Linked DNA regions of Saccharomyces cerevisiae S288C. Changing the gene in region 3 together with the main gene of any one other region gives a genetic interaction. Each region holds a gene or a part of one and is shown on either strand. Other genes may lie near its edges. The genes, in order: SSM4, ETR1, UBC6 and MSH4.

What was found.
Region 1: of UBC6 (region 3) and SSM4, a mutation in one rescues a mutant of the other (synthetic rescue), as found in Saccharomyces cerevisiae (one study listed by BioGRID).
Region 2: mutations in UBC6 (region 3) and ETR1 together harm fitness more than expected from each alone (negative genetic interaction), as found in Saccharomyces cerevisiae (2 studies listed by BioGRID).
Region 4: mutations in UBC6 (region 3) and MSH4 together harm fitness more than expected from each alone (negative genetic interaction), as found in Saccharomyces cerevisiae (2 studies listed by BioGRID).

Annotation. Positions count from the first base shown.
Region 1 is NC_001141.2:295,550-303,020, forward strand, and holds SSM4 (E3 ubiquitin-protein ligase SSM4), read right to left. Parts: upstream 4,461-7,471; coding exon 501-4,460; downstream 1-500. Other genes in the region: SUMO protease ULP2, read left to right, coding at 1-188; EMA17 (Ema17p), read right to left, coding at 5,280-5,708. UniProt on the Saccharomyces cerevisiae protein: E3 ubiquitin-protein ligase which accepts ubiquitin specifically from endoplasmic reticulum-associated UBC6 and UBC7 E2 ligases, and transfers it to substrates promoting their degradation.
Region 2 is NC_001134.8:291,939-296,414, forward strand, and holds ETR1 (enoyl-[acyl-carrier-protein] reductase), read right to left. Parts: upstream 2,082-4,476; coding exon 939-2,081; downstream 1-938. Other genes in the region: YBR027C (uncharacterized protein), read right to left, coding at 2,086-2,418; putative protein kinase YPK3, read right to left, coding at 2,487-4,064; CDS1 (phosphatidate cytidylyltransferase), read right to left, coding at 4,431-4,476. UniProt on the Saccharomyces cerevisiae protein: Catalyzes the NADPH-dependent reduction of trans-2-enoyl thioesters in mitochondrial fatty acid synthesis (fatty acid synthesis type II).
Region 3 is NC_001137.3:356,685-361,172, reverse strand, and holds UBC6 (E2 ubiquitin-conjugating protein UBC6), read right to left. Parts: upstream 1,612-4,488; coding exon 859-1,611; downstream 1-858. Other genes in the region: AST2 (Ast2p), read left to right, coding at 1-671; ribose phosphate diphosphokinase subunit PRS2, read left to right, coding at 2,112-3,068; putative ubiquitin-specific protease UBP9, read right to left, coding at 3,443-4,488. UniProt on the Saccharomyces cerevisiae protein: Catalyzes the covalent attachment of ubiquitin to other proteins. Functions in degradation of misfolded or regulated proteins localized in the endoplasmic reticulum (ER) lumen or membrane via the ubiquitin-proteasome system.
Region 4 is NC_001138.5:133,479-139,506, reverse strand, and holds MSH4 (MutS family protein MSH4), read left to right. Parts: upstream 1-2,349; coding exon 2,350-4,986; downstream 4,987-6,028. Other genes in the region: YFL002W-B (gag protein), read right to left, coding at 1-1,303; VTC2 (vacuolar transporter chaperone), read right to left, coding at 5,211-6,028. UniProt on the Saccharomyces cerevisiae protein: Involved in meiotic recombination. Facilitate crossovers between homologs during meiosis.

The DNA.
Region 1 (7,471 bases), on a different chromosome or scaffold from region 3:
AGTTGGTTGATATTGATGATGTGGCATTTAGTAGTCCAACTAGGGGTATTCCAAGAACCAGCGCGACAAGCAAGGGATCAAATGCACAACTTCTCTCTAATTATGGAGATGAAAATAACCAGTCTCAAGATTCTGTTTGGGATGAGGGCAGAGATAATCCTATACTCTTGGAAGATGAAGACCCTTGAAAGCACTCGCACGCATAGTTTTATATTTTTTATTCTTTTCCTCTTTATTTTTATTTTTTTAACATTCTCGCATAATAATAGTAACAGCAATAAAATAACTAGTAATATACATACTCACATAAATAGGCATATTTTTTATTTTGTTCTTTCGTATTCAGAATGGTAAATTTTTCTAATGAAATGTTTTACAAAAATTTTTTTTCTATAATTCTAACAATAAGAAATAAAACAGTGGAAAAACATATAACTTAATGTAGATATATATATGTAAATATGCTAGCATTCATTTTAAATGTAAGGAAGAAAACGCCTTTAACTTTCATCTGGTAAATTTTCTAAAGCTCTACCCTTAGTGTAAACCTCGTCTTTTACATTCTGTACAGTACTTTTGAACCATTGAATGAACAGCACAGTTGCTTGGAAAAAGAACGTAAATGACTCTAATGCTATCAGTAGTCCGAAATAAATATCTTGCATCCTTGTCCATGTTGGGAATGATTCGTTAAGCGATAAAGTGAAACTCCTGGATCCATGGCTAATATCGATAATCTGCTTTGTAGAAACATCACGTAAAAATACTAAGGATAAAATAATAATCGGCAAGACGTAAATTACCATGTGCAGGAAACCTTGTTTAAACAGTTCCAAAGCCATTGTTTTCAAGAAGTTCAATTTACTAGTATTTCTGTTTCTGAAAAATAGTTTCAATGACTTATATCCGGTTCCGAAATTGACCATTGACGAAATGATCCAAACGACGAATAACAAACTCTCGTCATATTTAAACCATTTGGAATTACCAATAGTGTATGAAGAATTGCCAAACACTCTGATGGTGAGATAATTGTAACAGGCTAGTATACCATCGGTTAAGACGACCCACGAAACCATAGTTCTAATAACCGCAATCATGATAGCTATAAACACCATCAGGTTATACTTCACCAACATACTATCAAATATACTGTTAAAGATGGCCATGAAAATTCCTTGACCCTCTTCCACATTATTGATATTATTAACAGGGGCATTGTTGATATCTCTCTCTGGTATATCGTGTTCCACTTCCTCTACTTCGTTTTCGTCAACGGCATGTTCATCGAGAGTGTTTTGGCCTTCTGTAAAATGAAGAATATCCTTAGCAATCTTGGATAAACAAACAGATCCGACACAGACATAATAAATGTTCAAATAGGAGTAGCTAATGTCAGAGAGTTCCTTCCATGCAACATAGACCTTATTTCTTTCACCTAACAATAGCTTTACGACTGGAAGAAAGCCGAAACTACAAACAAAGTTTATTAAAGCTTGACTAATAAATGTAACACCAAGCATTAAAATGGAAGCAAATAACCAAACCAGGCCAAGCAATGTCATATAGCGTAAACGGAAATCTGGAGGGACGTAAACGATATAATATTGATCATATTCCGTGTTTTGTTCGTCTAAATAACCAAATTCACCAGCAGCACGTTTGTTTCTCTCTTTAATTCTTTCCAAATCTAATGGTTTCAACAGCTTATCATCCTTTGTAACGGGGACAAACATTGTTTGTACATAATTTCTGGATACTATATCAGAAGAAGGAACACGCATTAAAACGCCATCGGGGACAAAATAAGCATGAACGTCACGAACTTGCCCAAACAATTCTTCTGCTTGTTCTAGAGTCTTTGGTTTAGTGAAAAGTTCTTGGTTTGACCATTCTGCATTCTTGGCAGCAATGTACTTGTAAAACAAATTGCGGTAAACAATATGGCCTCTCTCTGTTGGGGTATCTTTACCTAAGATAAAGGATGATAAACGTAATTTTCTTGAACATAACTTAAAAATTGTTTTCCAATACCTTTCCAATAAGGGTTTAACGTAAGAGCTAGACTCCAGGATCCTCTTCGTAAAATATAAAGTTAGCAAAATTGTATTGAACTTCCATGAAATAATTGATGTTGGTTTATAAGCTTCAGGAACGGATAATAAGTTCGATTTGAGCATGAATGGGAAAAAAATTCTAGTATGGAAGCCAAAACCTAAGACAATAAAAATCGCATAAATAAACATGGATAAGCAAAGCCTTGATAATTGAATACTCATCGGATGAATTAAACTATCATGCAAGATCTTAATATTAGGATCTTCTGGAGATCTGATAAAGAATAGAACACCTGGTCTAATGATATTTTTCCTAATCATTCCGATATATTTGGCAAACCAATACATGTAGAGAGTACCAATCGTCCAGTATACGAAAAGGGAAAATGGAGGCCATATTGCGCATATTGAAGGAACCCAAAGCATCCGACTATTGGATGCCAGGATTGGGCAAAATAATGAGAAATCTAGCATTACACCAGCTAGAATGGGGAATCCAGCCAATTCGATGAAAAATAAAGTGAACACCTTGAAAGTGCATTTGAGTGCAAATAAAATCTGGAAAATCAGCCTTCTAGTAGGGTTGCTCATTCCGTTCTCACGGCCATAACCCCTCGAGACAAGATTGGATGAAGCACAAACGATACTGACTGAGGTTAGATACGTCGTTAAAGCAGGTAAAGCTCTGATGAAAATTGAGTGCTTCATGGTGTTTTCAGTGTAGCCGTTGTAAAGATAAATGATGTCATGAATTAAGTGGTCTGAAATCCAACTCATCGCGACATCTACTTTAGGGACCAGTTTCGTCAGCCCATTGTAAGCTATATGAGCGCCAGACAAGTAGTAAAGATGGCACAACCCACGCAAAATAACCTTAAATATACCAAAATAAATTTTCAACAAACCGAACCCAATAAAAGTTGGAAACAAATAGGAAATTGCCAGGTATATTGCGGTGAAAACTACGGCAATTATGAAATAAGCAATGACATTCAACAATTTCAATTTGAGATTTATCACTAGAGGGCCTTGTCCTTGATCGTCTGGGTTAGCCTGTGCTGGTGGCACACCAACAGCTGCGCCAAAGTCTTGTTCGTCTTGATCGACATTTCCAGCTCTGTTTTGGGCAGGTGGTGGGATGAAAACCGGAGCGTTGGGCCTGTTTATTGCGTTCTGTTGAGCAGCGATTAGGTCATCAAATTCATTTTGCGCACGACGATTTGCCCACATGTCAATCGGATTGGGCTCTATATGATCACGGTAATCTGCCTCTTCTTCTGGTTGCTGCTGTTGCTGTTGCCCCTCTGCTTCTTCATCTTCTTCGTTGTCACTTGAAGACCCCGGTAAAATTCGTGACGAATCATCACCTGATGGTAAACTATTGTCAGAGTCGTTGTTCTCGTGCTCTTCCGTAGCCTCATCATGATCTAATTCGTCTACGTGGCGAAGGTTTTCAAAATTCCGATGGTCATTAGGATCCTGAGGTGGAACGTTATCGTTTCTGGGATTAATAACATTATTATTATTATCTGCTGCTGCGGCTGGCATGTTCAGTCTATCATGACCTTGCTCTTGACGATTTTCGTCATGAGCTCTCATTTCCCTCGCTAAATATTCAACCATTCTATCATCCATCATGGGGAATCTTTCCTTCAAACGTGATTTCAAGTCCTTGGGAGATAATCTTGGACCTATCTTGTGGAAAACCATTTTACTGAAAACATCCTCTCTTACTATCATATCGTATTGAAAGTACAATGCTATATGTAGTATCACTATCATAATAAATTGTAAAGACGTAAACGAATGGTTTTGTAAAAGTTGGTAAAAAATTGCTCTCGTGGTTAATTCTGGAGTTGCTGACTGATCATAACCATAAATCAAACTCTTTAGGAAATCACCAGGATAAGGGGATGATCCATCTAGCATCATGGTGTATAATTTTCCAAACATGTTCCATACCAAAGGAACACCGATAATATATAGTACAGCGGCCAAACCAATCGTTAAAGCCAAACGAGCTTTTTCGAAAAATGTCAAGATGCTCTTGGATAGTAGTAAAGAAAAAGGTATCTTTTCGGGCATGTTTTCCGCATATATCGTTTTGAATTGAATGGGATAGTGACAGATGTCACATTTAACATCCGCGCCTGGTTTTGAAATGTCTATATTTTTTGAAGCTACCCATTCCAACAGACAGGATTCATGCATGTATTTAATTGAGCCCCTGCATTTACAAGGATGGAAAAGAGGATTGTCCTCAGTAGCTTCTCCACGACAAATACGGCAGGTGGCGCCGGATGGCGCATCATCATTGAAAGTGGCGGTATCTGTTTCCTCGTTTGCCACCTTATGCAGTTCATCTCTTAACCTGGAGACATTAACGTCAGAATCAACATCCATGACTTTCACACTTCTAGTCTCTTTGATTCAATTAGTGGTACTCTTGGCTAAAAAAACAGTTTTTGAAATCAGTAACAAAGAACTATTCTTAACGTAATCTTATGGCTTCATAGATCGGTCATAATCATCTTTTCAATGTCCTCAATCGATGCGTTTTCAACCAGTTTTCCGTCTCTAATGATTTAATTTTTCTATTGAATTGAAAATGGTAAAAAGATAGCCCTGTAGGGGGCTCGAACCCCTAACCTTATGATTAAGAGTCATACGCGCTACCGATTGCGCCAACAAGGCTATTTCGTTGGAAAAACTACTTATTTTAGGAAGTAATAGCACATTTAAGATGCTTGTTGGAATGAAACTTTAAAATATCATCTGTTTAGTACTATTCATGTTACTAATTAAGATATGGGTGAATTTTGAGATAATTGTTGGGGGTTCCATTGTTGATAAAGGCTTATAATATTATGTATACGGAATATACTAGAAGTTCTCCTCGAGGATCTAGGAATCCTCATAATGGAATCTATATTTCTATATACTAATATTACGATTATTCCTCATTCCGTTTTATATGTTTCATTCTCCTATTACATTATCAATTTTTGTATTTCAGCTTCCTCTAACCTCGATGACAGCTTCTCATAATTTACGCCATCCTCTTACACCGCATGTGATGCTATTACTACTAAATAGATAACATTAGAATTTCATTCCAACAGCTTTAGTCTGTTTTAATAAACGCAACAGCACCATAATGTTATTAATTTTAATAAAGCCAAATTATGGCCTGCTGATTTCTTTTCATTGGTAAAAGTTCTATCACCCGTTCCCCATTAGTATGATAACCGATAAATAAACTCTATTACCTGGTTTCTTCGTTCCAGGAACGTTTATACCCTGACTACACATTTCTTTTGAAAAATAGGCCAATTGAACAATTAAGTTAGAAGCGGTTAGAAAAAGGTATAATAGGAAAAAATGCATCCAATTTTTACAGTTGAACCACTTGGGGGATTTTATTCTCGTATTGTAGCGGGAGCATTTTATCTTCGTACATCTTGGAAGCTGTAGATTAATCTTATTCCTATATGCTCCTTCAATCCACACAGCAAACCCCCAAATGGAAACGATCACTGAGTATGTTATAAACCAGCTTACGCTTATACTATTATCAAAATTCAAAAGATTGAACGGGGAAAATGGTAGAAATGAATATTGAAGCATTTTCGCAATGAAAATTAACCGCATTGTTTTTATAGTAATTCTGATGGCTAACGGCGGTAATACAGCATCCTTACGAAGAGCGGGAATAGTTCATTTGCCCTCTTTGATGGTTTGCATAACTGCGTTGTTGATTGTCTTAGGAATGGAAATATTTAACAAATATACCTATAATGAAAAAAGGGTCCTTCTTTTTAATTATTATTGGCAGCGAAAAAGTTGTCCCAGCTTCTACTTTTTTTCCCGTTAAAAAAGGAAGCGGCGGAAGCTGATCTACTCTCTAATAATAGACTACTCACTCGCATCTTGGTAACGAGTCCCTTTAAGATCTTGGTACATAAAGTTTGCTGCAGCAAAAAGGGCTTATTTGCGCATTCATGATATTAAACAACACCCTGTTTAGCGTGTTAATGATCCTTGTTTTATGCCAGTATATTCTGTATACCTTATAATAGAGTCAACAGTTAAATCCTAATCATTACCTCAGGACTTACCTATTTCTGAATATCATGGTCCACCATTCTACCTCAGTGAATTGATTGAACCGCACCATTGGAATTGTCATGGTGAGCCAGCGTGCTACAACTTCATGATTTTACGAGCTGAAAAAACACGCCCTTAGGCATAAAAACTCAATGGAAATCTGTAAAACAAAATAAATTTCGCTTTTTAACTTGGCCTAATGGGAATACTTTAACAATTGAACCTGTCACTAAATCAGAGGAAGTACATGCCTAATTACTCAAAGCTGTATTTAACTAATTTACCTATACTATCGCCAGGCATTCAAGGATGAAGACATGCGTCAATGCAAATAGTGACGGCTGCTGCATTAAAGAGGTGCTGCGTGGTGTAGAAAAGGCAATAACATGGACGATGCAAGGTTATTCAGACGCGTTGTTTGTATGCCATTTCCAATGATAATGTTGGTTGCGTTATATAGAAATGTGTTAGGAAGAGATTCTACAGTTGATTGCAGCTTTGACGTTATACTTACACCTTGGATAATGGCCAGTATGTTTTCCAAACGTATGGTGAATTGGTCTAATCCACGTCAAGCTGTTTTAAAAGTATGCAGCGCAGCCGTGACCTCCCGGATAGTTGCCAATTGGTTGTTTACGATGAACATATTATATACCAGTGGTGAAAAGGGTTTTTACTCGCTAGCAACAGCTGTGGTAATTAAAACGGTCACTGATGGGTTTACGGTGATACGGGTTTTCTCTATTCACCTGAACGAGTCAGTATATAGCAAGCCATTACCATAACATTGGGTAACGTCGCACGCAACACAGCTGCGGGTGTGTGTGGTGATTGGTTAGTCAATTGGTCATTTGGGCTGGTAATAGGGCATGTTCCCCTTACAGCTTGTACTGTCTCATTGGGGTTTGCTCTTATTGCTGGAATAATAAATGGAAAGGTTAACGACGACACAAATGGTTTTCGACGACCAAAACAAATTAGCAAATGGCAACCTTTTGTATTAGGGCTAATTAATGTAAGCGATGTTACCATTTTGTCTATTTCTGGCGGTGGACTGGTAGCTTCTTCATGTGGAGGTGCAATAGGCTATGCTACTGTCATTAAAACTGTTGCTACCACAAATGCACGTTTCGCGATTACTGAGGTGATCAAGGAAATAGTTATTCGTTATTCATCACAATTAAATGCAGAAAAAGTTTGTGAAGAATAAAAAACTCGAGCCGGGTGGTAAATTGTTTTAGTACGGTTAGCATCGGTTTAGTACCTGTACCAATATGTGTCACTTTTGTTATTTCTGCAGGCGATAA
Region 2 (4,476 bases), on a different chromosome or scaffold from region 3:
GCAATAAAAAATTAGTACTAATTATCAACTGAATACACTACTAAATACGATTTCTCGCAACGAAAGGTATGAGAGAGAAGACGTAAGTTGACTTTCACTGCATCCTTCCTTTTGGGTCATAAAATCGCTGGGATGGCCCTTGAAAAAATTTTTTCAGTGAAAAAAAAAAGAATTTTCGAGAAAAAAAAAAAATTAGGAATTGTGCGTGGTCATTCAATACGGAGAATTAAGTAACACGCAACAACTGCATTCTGCCTTAGTTGTCTCAAGGCAAATTGGCACCAACAATATGAACTTGTTGTAAAGCTCAACTCCAAAGAAGGGAAACTACTCAGATTTGTTTTCTTCAGTTTAACAGGCGTATCTTCTGCAAATCTACTACGTTTCCTACCGAAGACTTCGCTCTACGAGAATTCTTAGGTTTCTACGAGTTACGCGCCCTTCTTCGAACGCCATTCTCAGGAAAAATTGCATTTACGTAATCTTTTGTTCTAATTGATATAATGGCTATTTATACGTAATATCATGCTTAAGAACCAAGAAAGCCAATAATGGCATTCGGAGGAAGCAATCAGTGAGGAAAATTGTTGATTAAGCTAGATATTTCTATATCTAGTAGATCTTGTCAAGTTGAAGTAGCGAATAGGACTCCTGTATTGCTATTGTGATGTTTTTTTATTGTACAGTAGTTGTATAACTTATCGTTGGTATTAACTACCGTTTGTTTATACATCATGCTCATTATCTCGTCCTGACTAATGTGAAAGGATCGATATATACATTGAAGGGTCGACGTCCCCTTTTATTAGCTCCTACAAAGATAGCACTGGCATATATTTTTTAATGTCTTGGTATATATTATATAGCAACTATACTCGATGTCATAAAGAGGAATACTATCTTTGGTGGTTGTCTAACTCTGAGCAATGCTAAGGCCCTTACCATTCTAAAACAACCATTTTTTTCTTCCCCTTCCCAGTTATACCTTTTTTGACTAGTTCTAGTAACTGTTCGTCAGTAGTAGTGTTAGTATTCCAGGTAAGAGTTTCAATTTCATCTCTTGGTGAAATAATGTGACCATAATTATACATTTTGATAAAATCACTGATGGTGTCAATCTTGCTTTGGGGGTTTTTTTTGTTCTTTTCAGTCACCCAGTACCCTTTGGATGTCAAGCCTTTGAAAATGTGTAGAGATGTTGGTAAAGTTACAGGTTGTTTTGACATTCCTCCATAAGTGAGCATCAAAGCATTATTTTCCAACTTACGTGCTATTGATGCACTGGATTTACCTCCAACAGAATTCAAGGCAAGCCTCACCCTTGCATTTTCACCCAAAATCTTGGACAATACTTCTTTGGCAAAAGTCTTGTCGTTGTTTTGCGATTCGGAAATAACCTTCGTAGCACCATACTTATCCTCCAAAACTTTTGCTACCTCATCAAAATTATCACGGTCACGTATAACACTTAATGTTTTGATCCCTTTAGCTTTTGCTACTTGCGTAACTATTTTTGATACACTAGATGTACCGGCATTTTGGATAATCCATTCATTACCGTTACTGTTCCAGTCGATATAGTCTGATACTAATTGGAAACCGGTACAACCATTAACAGATACAGTTGCCGCAGAAAACAGATCCAAATCATTTACCTTGATTAAATCAGAACTACTAGAGAAAACTCTATAATTGGACCAAGTCCCTTGATTTGCCTGCAATGGGATAACTCGGTCACCCAATTTCAAATCTCCCTTGGAACTTCCCGAAGGTAAAGAAACAACTTCAAAGACACCCTCATTACCGGCGATAGCGGCTGGCTCATCTGTGGAGTAATCGTATGTCTTTTCTGGACGAGACGGGTATACTCCTTGCAACTGATTGATATCCGAAGGGTTTATGGGAAAGGCCAAAGTTTTTAACACAATTGATTGAGATAAGTCTTGTTTAGGCGTATAATTTTTCACTGACAAAACCTTGGTACAATCCTCAACTTCATGAGTTGAATAGATGAGCGATTTGAAGTGCTTGGGAATCTGATGAGCTGAGGACGACATGTAACGTTTGAATGTGGGAAGCATCTTGTTATATCAAATGTAATTGGCAGATTATGAACCTTCTTAAATGACAATGTACGTTTGTAATCTCCAATTTCTTTAGCCATGGAAACAACCCCTGGGTACACCACTCGTGCGTCCCTTGGAGGAGAACCACTCTTTTAAGGTAAAAAAAAAAGCACCGGCGGGGTCCAATAATGATAATAATACCATAAATAAGGAAGATGGTATCACCGATTGGTCCAGAAGTATTATCCATACAGTTGTTTTTAATATTATTACATACATTATATATTAAAAATGTGTTTCGTAACCCTAAAGCAAAACAAAGTATATACAGTGACACAGATCCTTTAAACATCAAAAAAACAAAAAAAAGTAAGTCAGTGCAGATCCGAGCCTTCTCTCTTAATCTATCTAACTTTTAATTCAAAAGTACTTCTCCAAATAGCTACCACTTGCTTTATAACTAAATCCCTTGAACATATCCGGGGACTTGCTCACCGAATTGATATTAATCGGCTTGCTATCCGTATAGGTTTCCTCATATGACATAGAAGTAAATTCTGTGTCAAAATTTTCCGCTAGTTCCAAATCCGTAATAACTGGAACAATTGGGCCTAGAGTGGTTTTTTGCAATTGTCCAGATTCTAATAACTTCCAGTCTATTTTTCTAAAGATAAAATGTTCAGTGAAAAGACTAGTTCTTGCAGCCCCTGATTTCTTCTTCTTAGACTTAGTAGGCTTATTATTAGCCCCGGTTTTGGCCCAGTATTTGTCAACATTCCACCTTTTGGCAGTTTCCTTCTTCAACAGCGCGTTTAATATATCTTTCATTCCCTCGCTCAGATAAAATGGAATTTTGGGGCCTTGCTTGTTTTGTTGAATCTTATTAATGATCACCTTATGATTGCTACCAGTATATGGAGGCTTACCTACTAACATGTCATACAACAGACATCCCAAAGAATACCAATCACAATTCTGACTGTAAGCTTTACCTAATAATATTTCAGGCGCACAGTATTCAGGCGTACCGATAATCGAGTATAGGGCATTGACGTTCTCTGGATCCTCCTCATCAACCGCGGAATCATTAGCACTTTTTTTACTCAGACCAAAATCTGTCAATACTAAATGTCCACGTTGATTCAATAAACAGTTTTCAGGTTTTAAATCTCTATAGACAACACCTTTCGTATGCAAAAATCTCAAGGCACAGCTGATTTCTGCCGCGTAAAACGAAACTGTCGTCTCATCTAGGGTCCCGTGTTCCTTCAAGTGGTAAAATAGTTCACCGCCAGGGATATATTGTAGCAGTAAATATAACTTTGAGTTATCGTGAAAAGAATAAAATAACTTGACAATGTTTGGATGTTCTATTTCAGATAGAATAGACCGTTCGGCAAATGTTCTCTCAAGCCTCTTTGATAATCCATCGTCATTATCGTTGTTATTACCATCATTTTTATCTTCGTCTTCTCTCTTGGAATCTGTGGCTGTTTGAGAAATTAAAATTTCTGCTTTCCGTAATTGCTTCATAGCATACAGCTTGGATGTATTGACGTCCTTAACAAGAAGAACTTTACCGTAGGCACCTTGGCCTAGGACTCTCACGGGCTTAAAATCGTGCAGGTTCCTTGATAATTCATTTTCTCCAATATTAGAGGAAATAATGTCCTGAGGTGTTATGGATAGTCTATTCGTATTAGTTCGCATTGCGTCCGAACCTGTAATAGAAAATCTTCTCGTATTTGGTGGAGTGAGAATAGGGAATTTGGAATAAGCTGAGGACCTTCTTCTCATCCTATGTGCAGGACTCATGCCATTTAGCGGAATCGCATTTGAATGAACCGAGAGGTGATTTATACTCTCCTCATATGTGATGGAGCTGCCTTGTTCATGATTGATATCATTGTATATTGCCGAGGAATAATCTACTTTAATGTCATTCTTTTTATCATCTAGTGACACACGATGAAGTTCTTCATCTAGTGAGAAAATCATCCTAATTACTGCCAACAGTATGCTCAGCTAGATTGGTTGATGAAAAATCTTATCATAGGGCACCTTCCAGGTAAAAGATCTACTTACTATTAGTCAGTACGTCCTTTTTTCATTTGTTTATAATTTTTTTTTTTTTTTTTTTTTTCTCCTCTCAATATTTTAGAAGTAACATGACAGAGCAACACGTTTATTTTCCTACATATAGTCATAAGTATAAAAACGAGCGAGAAATTTTGTTAAAGAATTGATATCATATTTTATAATTTACATAAACTAAATAGGGAAAGAGTAGTATAGCGTGCATAAGTTTGAAAAAAAAAAACTATTCATACACTCATATATACTTTTATATGGTCTTTTTTATATTCAAGAGTGATTGGTCAATGATTTCTTGGTCACATTAAAGATGTCA
Region 3 (4,488 bases):
GTACAAGCTCTGTAGGGATGTTTGCTATCCAGTTATTGAAGCGTTACTATAAAGTTTCTAAAAAGCTAGTAGTGGTAACGTCAGGTAATGGTGCAGCAGTCCTGTCAGAACATTTCCCGGATTTGAAAGATGAAATCATTTTCATAAATTATCTGTCATGTAGGGGAAAATCTAGTAAACCACTCAGACGTATGTTGGATACCGGTAAAGTTGTAGATTATGATGATTTTAATACTCTCAAAGAAACCGAAGATTATACTCAGGGTAAATTTAATGTCGTGTTGGACTTCATCGGTGGTTATGATATCTTGAGTCACTCGAGTTCTTTAATTCACGCTAAAGGTGCTTATATTACAACAGTTGGTGATTATGTTGGAAATTATAAGAAAGACGTCTTTGATTCTTGGGATAACCCTAGCGCCAATGCAAGAAAAATGTTTGGATCAATGTTATGGTCATACGATTATTCTCATTTTTACTTTGACCCCAATATCAAGATTATCCCCAAGAAGAATGATTGGATACATGAATGCGGCAAGCTGCTAAATGAGGGAGTCGTAGATTGCGTTGTTGATAAGGTTTATTCCTGGAAAAATTTCAAGGAAGCATTTTCCTATATGGCTACACAACGTGCTCAAGGTAAGCTTATAATGAAAGTTGAAGGTTTTTGAAATGGGAGTTTCTGTCTCCCTAGGTTTCACCTCATTTTTATTGAGGTTTCTTGGTCAATACATACTCAAAAATATAATTAATAATTCACAATGTTCATAATAAAAAGATCCGTTTTGTCTATATAATACTATTGATTTCTATTCTGTGTTGTCAAAATTTATCTAAAGTTTAGTTCATTTAATGGCTTCATTTCATAAAAAGGCCAACCAAAAACAAAAAAATAGCGATACCAATATAAACCATTGAAGAACTATCATTAGGTTCTTTGCCATCTTTCTTGGAATTATTTTCTGATTGTCTCAACGCTTGTTCAGCGCGTATTCTGTCTTCAGGGTCTAGAATTTCCTCCAACGAGATGACTTTTTCCTTCGCAGCCTTTGTAAAAGGGTCTTCTGTTTCATCACCTGTATTTGCCGCATCCCCCTCATCCAATTTTCTCTTTTCTAATGTCTCTACATTTTCCTGTACAACTTCCGGAAAAATCAATTTGAATCTAACATTTTGAAAAGTGTTATAACTTATGGAATTTCTTGCTAATGTCTTCTTCTGATGGTCTGATGTTGTAATTGATCCTGTCGTGGCTTCATCACTGGTCATGAAACTTAGTAACCCGTTCAAAATGGTTGAGACAGACCAGCCAGGATTCCAAGTATCAGGGTGGTAATCACTCATAGAAAGGCATAATCGTGTGTTGGGCTTGAAACGTCCATTCGGTGTTATCATTCTGATAGCCGGTGGTTTGTATGGATAATCAGACGGGAAAGTTAAAGTACCGTGATATTGACCGCCCTTGTAAGGAGTATCCGCAGGTCCTGTGATAATATAGTGCCACTCTAAAATATTATCTTCGTTGGGGCGAGCAAGAATATATGGTGGAGGGTTTTCCACCATCAACTTGTACTCTTTCGTCAATCTCTTGTGAGCCTGCTTTGTAGCCATTACTATTGTACGTACTTTGTTTGCAATTTGCGAATGCGGTTTTAGTTAATATTTAAAGTCTTTTCTGCGATATGCGATGGTAGTCTTCTTTATCACGGCTCCTAAAGTGTGATAATCGGAAAGTTCCTTTCTGTTCTCTGCAATCGATTTCGGCTTTTTCTGAACACAAATAACCAAAATTTCCTTATTTTATTGGGGAGGCTATCCTAATTGTAAAGTGCAATATTGCTGTGGAAGGATATCGACTCAAGCGACCAGTGGAATAGGATGGCGAGTTGGCTAGTTTAGCTCTCTCCGACATTGTTGCTATTGAACAGATACGGTATGCCCGTGTATTTATCCTCCTACCAAATCGCGCAGCAAAATGGTTAAGCACGTGACTATTTTTCAACAATGAAAAAATTTTGAACAATAGATGATATGAGGAGGCATCGAGGGATTGCTAAGAAGAGGATATTCCTCATCATCCAAAGACTATCTTGTCGTAAGTTTCGTTGAATATGTCTACAAACAGTATTAAGTTGTTAGCTGGTAACTCACATCCTGGGCTTGCTGAGCTTATTTCCCAAAGGCTTGGTGTACCGTTATCTAAAGTGGGGGTATATCAGTATTCAAATAAAGAGACGTCTGTTACAATAGGGGAAAGCATTCGTGATGAAGACGTATATATCATCCAAACTGGTTACGGGGAACATGAAATCAACGATTTCTTAATGGAATTACTTATCTTAATTCACGCTTGTAAGACGGCATCAGTCAGAAGAATTACGGCAGTAATACCAAATTTCCCTTATGCTAGACAAGATAAGAAGGATAAATCGCGGGCGCCCATCACTGCGAAGCTGATTGCCAATCTTTTGGAAACTGCGGGTTGTGATCATGTTATTACTATGGATCTCCATGCTTCACAAATTCAAGGGTTTTTTCATATCCCGGTTGATAATTTATACGGTGAACCAAGTGTGTTGAATTACATAAGGACCAAAACAGATTTCAATAATGCGATACTGGTATCGCCTGATGCTGGTGGTGCGAAAAGGGTGGCTTCTTTAGCGGACAAGCTGGATATGAATTTTGCCTTGATTCATAAGGAGAGGCAAAAAGCTAATGAAGTTTCGCGAATGCTGCTTGTCGGTGATGTTGCTGGTAAGTCATGCTTGTTGATTGACGATATGGCTGACACGTGTGGTACGCTGGTGAAAGCCTGTGACACATTAATGGATCACGGTGCTAAGGAGGTTATCGCTATTGTCACACATGGTATATTTTCTGGCTCAGCTAGGGAGAAGTTAATAAATAGTAGGTTATCAAGAATTGTTTGCACCAACACGGTACCTGTTGATTTGGATTTGGACATTGTCGATCAGGTGGATATCAGCCCTACGATTGCAGAAGCTATCAGAAGATTGCATAATGGAGAATCAGTCTCATATTTATTTACACATGCGCCTGTTTAAAGAAGAGGTATAAACGAATATATTTGTATAAATGTACTAACAGATATTTTGAAAAAAAATGCGTATATCTATTCAGTATTAGCGCTTATGCTGCCACCAATATTCTTCATCTGGTCTCTATGAGATTTTCATTAAAGCTTAATCTTTTCTGATTTACCGCCCTTGCTTTTGGAAAATATGTGAAATTTTATTGTGCTCTAAAAAAAAAAAGTTATTACAGTAGGTGAAGTGAAATACAACTAAATTCGAAAGATCAGGAACAATAGAAAGAAACGTGGAAATTATTTAAAAAAGGAAGAAAAAATGGTACACTAATATTGATACTTTTAGAACAGATGGGTCTCAACTATATGATGTATCGAAACAATCCCGATTTATTTGATGAAGCTCAATATTCTCGATTTTCTTTTTTGCTTATTGCGTTTTTTATCATTTAATGGCGTCTTGGTTTCTGCAGTCTTAACTTCAGGTATATTCCCCAAGGTCTTTTTGCGTTCAATATTTGCAGCTGCCCTCAATTTACGATCCCTTAACCAATCATCGCATTTTATTAACTGTTCAATGTTATTGTCAGTCTGCATTTGATCTTGACTAGAAGTGTCTATATTTTCATTTTGATTTTCGGTCTTATCAGCCTGTGTTTCTTTATAGAATAAAACGTAGGCTGTAGTTTGATCACCTGGATGACCTGTGAATTGTAACACAGTTTCTTCTTTTATGGATTCCACCGTTTCGTCATCATACAAAAGCCACCCAAACTTTTCGTTCCTGCAAATGCATACGTAATGACCATGCTGTGGACCGCTCCCCATATGGATGACGACGCCGCTTAGTTCATATTTTTTATATACTGATGTATTAAAAGTGGAAGAAACATCCAAAGTTAGTGGATAGAGTATTTTGTTAAAAAGTTTGATGTTTGACTTTTGCTCCTCTGAATACTTGAATCTTTTTAGGTGCAATGACAGAATATGGGGCAGTTGCTTCAGTCCGACCATACGTTCTGCTTCTTGTAAACCATAACATTTGTTACAATAAAATTTGTTAACCCCGTTCAACATCTCACGCTGATGATAGCTTTTTAACATCTTCTGGATATCAGTCTCTTCATCACCCTGTACTTCTATTGGAAAGTCTAAAAATGGTTCGTCCCTTGAGGTGATATTGTCACAAGTTAAACATTTGATCCTATTCGTCAGTGTACCTTTGAATAAATCCGTTATAAAGTTGTCGTTGCTGTTGTCTGTCTTTTGTGGTCCGAATCTCATTCTGGGATTATTGCGTTGAATATATTCACTGAAATCATTTAATAAAAAGTTTAAAAATTCATGGGCATCTTGTTGCATCATAGTGTTGAACAAGACGTTTTCTTTTTTTAAAATTTTGACAAACTCTGTAGGTGAAACGATACCGGTTAGCG
Region 4 (6,028 bases), on a different chromosome or scaffold from region 3:
TTGCTGGCCTAAGACTAAGTTCGTTGTCATCGCTTAAGTATTGTGATGAAACGGTTGATTCATTAATGTGATCATTGTTCACCCTTGAGAATTTACTAGATGTAGCAATATTGTGAGCTTTTGCTGCTCTTGGTTTTGAACTATTTGTTCTATGATAATTACGAGTTGTAACCTTTGTGTTAGTCGTGTTTGGAGATGTGCGAGAAACATTTTTGTATTCGCTGTGTTGTTTGTATTGGGACGGTTTATTTAGATTCATGATTTTATTTTCGTCATATATTAACTGAATTTCAGCGAATAATTGGGAAAGTTTCATGTTCGTTTTGGTACGATATTGATTACGTAGGTATTTGAAGTCACCGGATAGACCTTTAAGTATTAGTTGACAGGCCAATCTGTCGCTAACATTGATATTGTTTTCTTTTAGCCTCTGAATGATCGTACTGACTGTAATTTCAAATGTATCAGCAGATGTACTTCCGTCGTACTCAAGGTTGGCAAGAGCTATCCAATCCTTTAATTCTTGATTGTTAGTTTGCATTTTGGACACACTTTTACAAAGGACTGTAAGGATGTCAGCATAATTAATTTCTAAAATTTGTTTTACCCATGTTGGCAATAAATGAAATGGGGCAAATGCTTGGAAGGTATTGTATATATACGCATGTTCTTCATAAGTCATTTGACTTTTGATTTCACCCTGGTCATTTGGAATGATGTCACCGAGATTAGAGTTCTTCAAAAATCTGATGTAAAATTTAACCCATGTAGAAAAGTTTTCTTCTGATGTTAAAGTGTGTGGTGGTAAGACGTTATTTCTCACCTTTGTCTCAGCTTGAGGTACTTCAGAGTGTTGATTCTGTGAATCGATTGGATCAGGTGAGGAAGTACTCAGTGGTGGGATATACTGTGGCAACGGATAGTGTGGGTCCGGTTGATAATACGCAGGTGACGTTTGATAATGTGAACACGTCATCATAGACGGTTGTTGGTAATGTGCCCAGTTAGAGGCCATAGCTTTGTTTGGGGTCATCATGCCGTGCTGTTGGTACTGTCCATTCTGTGGAGGTGGTACTGAAGCAGGTTGAGGAGAGACATGATGATGGTTCTCTGGAACAGCTGATGTCCCAGGTGTTGTCTCTTGTTGAGAATTAACCTTAGTGGAATCTCTATCAAATTCCGGTAAATTGGAAGCTGAAACGGCTAACGGATCTTGATTTGATGGGACTTCCTTAGAAGTAACCGAAGCATAGGCGCTACCATGTAGAGAATGTGGATTTTGATGTAATTGTTGGGATTCCATTTTTGATAAGGCAATAATATTAGGTATGTAGATATACTAGAAGTTCTCCTCGAGGATTTAGGAATCCATAAAAGGGAATCTGCAATTCTACACAATTCTATAAATATTATTATCATCATTTTATATGTTAATATTCATTGATCCTATTACATTATCAATCCTTGCGTTTCAGCTTCCACTAATTTAGATGACTATTTCTCATCATTTGCGTCATCTTCTAACACCGTATATGATAATATACTAGTAACGTAAATACTAGTTAGTAGATGATAGTTGATTTTTATTCCAACATATACAGAATATGCTAGAAGTTCTCCTCGAGGATTTAGGAATTCTCAAAATGGAATCCATATTTCTACATACTAATGTTAGACTATTCCGTTTTATATGTTTCATTATCCTATTACATTATCAATCCTTGCATTTCAGCTTCTTCTAACTTCGATGACAGCTTCTCATAACTTATGTCATCATCTAACACTGTATATGATAATATATTGAATAACTATTAGTTGATAGATGATAGTGGATTTTTATTCCAGAGGTTTGCGATGCCTTTGAGAAATCAGGATTGTTTTGGTATGGGATGACATTGTTTTACGTAGTCTATTCCGTTTTAAGAGTTGCAGAACTCAAAAGTGACTGACTCCATGGCCAAGTTGGTTAAGGCGTGCGACTGTTAATCGCAAGATCGTGAGTTCAACCCTCACTGGGGTCGTTTTTTTATTCAAAATCAGTTTCTAAGATTTAGATTTTATTGTATCATATCTTTTTCCATACTGAAATCGATTAAAGTTTTTATGTGTTGCATCTGTATGAGAGCAAAATCTTATTTAGTCTCCTCTTTTCTGCTATGAACCAGTTTATTATTTTTTTTTAATTCGCGTCTTCATTTCCTTTTCAAATCCCGAACGTACAGCTTTCATACATATAAGGCATCAACGAAGAATAGCAAAAGAGCAGTTGGATTTTACTTAAAGTGAAACATATAAAAATAACTAGTTATAGCATTGAAATCTGTAGCTGATCAACGCAAACTATATGCAATGAGTGAATCTAATCTATCTAGTTTTATCAGTACAAATTATTTCAATTTAAGGTCGGCGGCTAATTCTTCAAACTCTATTTCGAAGCCAAGTACGAAAAAGAGTATCAGGAACCAAAAATCGCCAACTAACATAAGTAGTTGGGCTCTCAAAAAGAAAACGCTACAAATAGCAGAGACAACATGGGAAAACAATGAAAAAGATTCAACACATAGCCATTACTTAATGACTGGATCAATGGCCTCTAGGACCGCAACCTCCTTAAGTCGATACAGCACCAACGCTTCACTCCTCGGTCCTAGTATTGACTGTGTTCTTTGTTGCATATACGAAGTGCCAAGAGACATAAGTACGCGGATTGGGTTATGTATTATCAACTGTAACACGGGACAGATGTATCTTTCAGATTTCATGGATTCACAAATTTACATTCGTGTAGTTCATAAACTCCAAATTTACCAACCTACGGAAATACTGATTCCAAGCAGTTCTCTAGCTCCAACAGTATCAAAATTAGCGACAATGATAAAATTTAATGTGGCCGAGACAGTTAAAATTGAAGAGGGTTCACGAAAGTGCTTCAATAGCCAAGATGGACTGGCGGCGATTACAAAGTATTTAATGGATGATACAAAAAAGGACTTGAAAATCGAGGAGATTATAGATAAAACGTTTGCTCTTTGTGCTGCATCTGCTGCGATAAGCTACATGGAAGAGATTATATCCAAAAGCAGCCGAAATTTGAATGCGTTTCGAAAACTACGTATACAGTTTGAAGGAACAGAAAATACAATGCTGATTGATTCTAAAACCGTCAGAGGTTTAGAACTTGTAGAAAATAAATTGGATAAGAATGGCATATCACTATGGAAGTTCTTGGATACCACGTCCACTAAAATGGGACAAAGATCACTTCGGAACAGTATACTGCAGCCATTAACTGATAGGGGCAGTATCGAAATGAGACTAGAGGCCCTAGAAGAATTGAAAGCCAATGATGACCTTCTACAAAAATTAAGGCTAGAAATGAAATCATTGCCTGATCTAGATAAGTTATTTTCAAGGTTATTATGCATTAATCATTCTGCAATAAAACCTGACCAAAGAATTAATTACGTTTTGTTGCTAAAGGAAACTTTACAAAGCGTGAAGTCATTGAAAGACGCACTTAATGATCAGTTAATTCAAAGCCGTTTAATTAGCGAGACCAAAAAAATATTCAATAATGACGCAATTATGGAAATTGAAAAATTAATTAATAGTTGTATAAATGAAGACTGTGTCTGGGCATCCTCAGCTATACAACTACTTAACCAACGTTCATATGCTGTGAAAAGTGATTCCAATGGGCTTTTGGATGTTTCTAGACAAATCTACAAAGAGGTAAAAGAGGAATTTTTTCGTGAGGTAGAAGATCTTACCGCTAAAAACAAAATCAATTTAGATCATAATTACGATTCTGCACGAGGCTTTTATCTCAGAATAAAAAGACAGGAATTTACCGATGACGTCGCTACACTTCCAGACGTATTCATTTCAAGAACAATAAAAAAAAATTATATTGAATGTACAACCCTAAATATAATAAAAAAAAATGCGAGGTTGAAGGAAGTTATGGAAGAGATTTTACTTTTAAGTGAAGAGACAGTTGATGAACTGCTCGATAAAATTGCAACCCATATTTCTGAACTATTTATGATTGCAGAAGCAGTGGCTATCCTGGATTTGGTTTGTTCATTCACATATAATTTGAAAGAAAATAATTACACAATACCGATTTTTACAAACAATCTACTAATTCGAGATTCAAGACACCCACTACTTGAAAAGGTACTAAAAAATTTTGTCCCTAACACCATATCAAGTACAAAACATAGCTCCAGCTTACAAATCATAACCGGATGCAACATGAGTGGAAAATCTGTTTATTTAAAACAAGTTGCCCTTATTTGCATAATGGCCCAAATGGGATCAGGTATACCGGCACTTTATGGGTCTTTTCCTGTCTTTAAACGTCTACATGCAAGAGTCTGCAATGACAGTATGGAATTAACCTCATCAAATTTTGGTTTTGAAATGAAAGAAATGGCTTACTTTTTAGATGACATAAATACAGAAACACTGTTAATTTTAGATGAACTTGGTCGTGGTTCAAGCATCGCTGATGGGTTTTGTGTGTCTTTGGCAGTAACTGAACATTTACTTCGAACGGAGGCAACGGTATTTCTTTCTACACACTTCCAGGACATTCCTAAAATAATGTCTAAGAAGCCAGCAGTTTCCCATCTTCATATGGATGCAGTCCTTCTCAATGACAATTCTGTCAAAATGAATTATCAGTTGACCCAGAAATCTGTCGCAATAGAGAATAGTGGAATAAGGGTGGTAAAAAAAATATTCAACCCGGATATTATTGCAGAAGCGTACAATATCCATTCGCTTTTGAAAATTGCAAAAGCAAGGACTGAAAACGAAGATTCAAATGGCGTTGTTGATCAAAAGACCATAAACCAAATGAAGAGAATACACAATCTTGTAGCGATATTGAAAGAATGTGCAGGAAATGAAAAAGAGCCCTTGACTTTAGGGAAATTAAAAGAAATAAACTCCGACTTCATCGAAAATTTTGAAGAATAATTTGGCTTTTCCGCTTAGCTTAAAACTATAATCCATTATTTCTGTACAGAGTTATCAAAAACCGGAGAAAATGATGTTTATGTAAATGCATTGATATTTATGAATGATTTAAAACTTCCCCTTAAATGTGATTTCTAAAAGTAAGCAATTGTTAGCAGATGATAATTTTTTGCTACACATTACAAACATAAAAACACATGGTCTCAGTAGATAGAGTACATATTCTAATCACTGCTTGGCCCCATTAACTTGAATAGATAATTTTGAAGTGGCCTTAATACTTCTGGTATTCTTTCAGGAACTTCTAAATTCTGTATTTGCAACTCTTGACGAGACTTTGCTGCATTTCTAAACGCCATAACAAAATTAACCACTAAAGTGACAAATAAAACTATAGAAACCAAAACTGGACCAAGTGGTGCATCTAGATGTTGACCGCTTCTTTGTTGAATAATATCAACTCTTTTCATATAAATGGAATAGGACCATAAAGCACAGAATATCGTTAGACCAAAATATACGTATGCCATGTAGTTAGCCAAAGTGGGGTATTCGGCTTTCTTCACAGAATTATAAATTGAGAACGTCAAAACACTCAATAAACTGGTGACACTTAACCATCTGTTAAATGTACGTTCGTTGGCAAGCCAAACCTTTGCCTCCACGTTTACAGGACCAGCATTTTTTAACAAATTTAATGGTTTTTTCACACCAGGTGGCAATTCAATTTCTTCTTCTTCAGAATCCACCCCCATTAACTTTGGATCTCTACCGGCCAAAATTCTCAAGAAAGTGGCCTTGGGTTTTCTTCTCCGAACTTTCTTTGATCTTTTCGAATGAGGTTCTTGCTCAGTTTCCTCATCGGATGAACCGTCTGCCTCCAAATCACCTTGAGAGGTAATACGCTCATTTTCCTCTTGAGATACCGGTACTGCTGCTTGATGTTGAGGCTCTTTTAAGTTGGAAAGCCTTCTCATTCCATCAATTTTCTTTTGTATCTCTTTTTGTTTCAACAGTTTTTTCTTTTCCTCCTCATATGCTT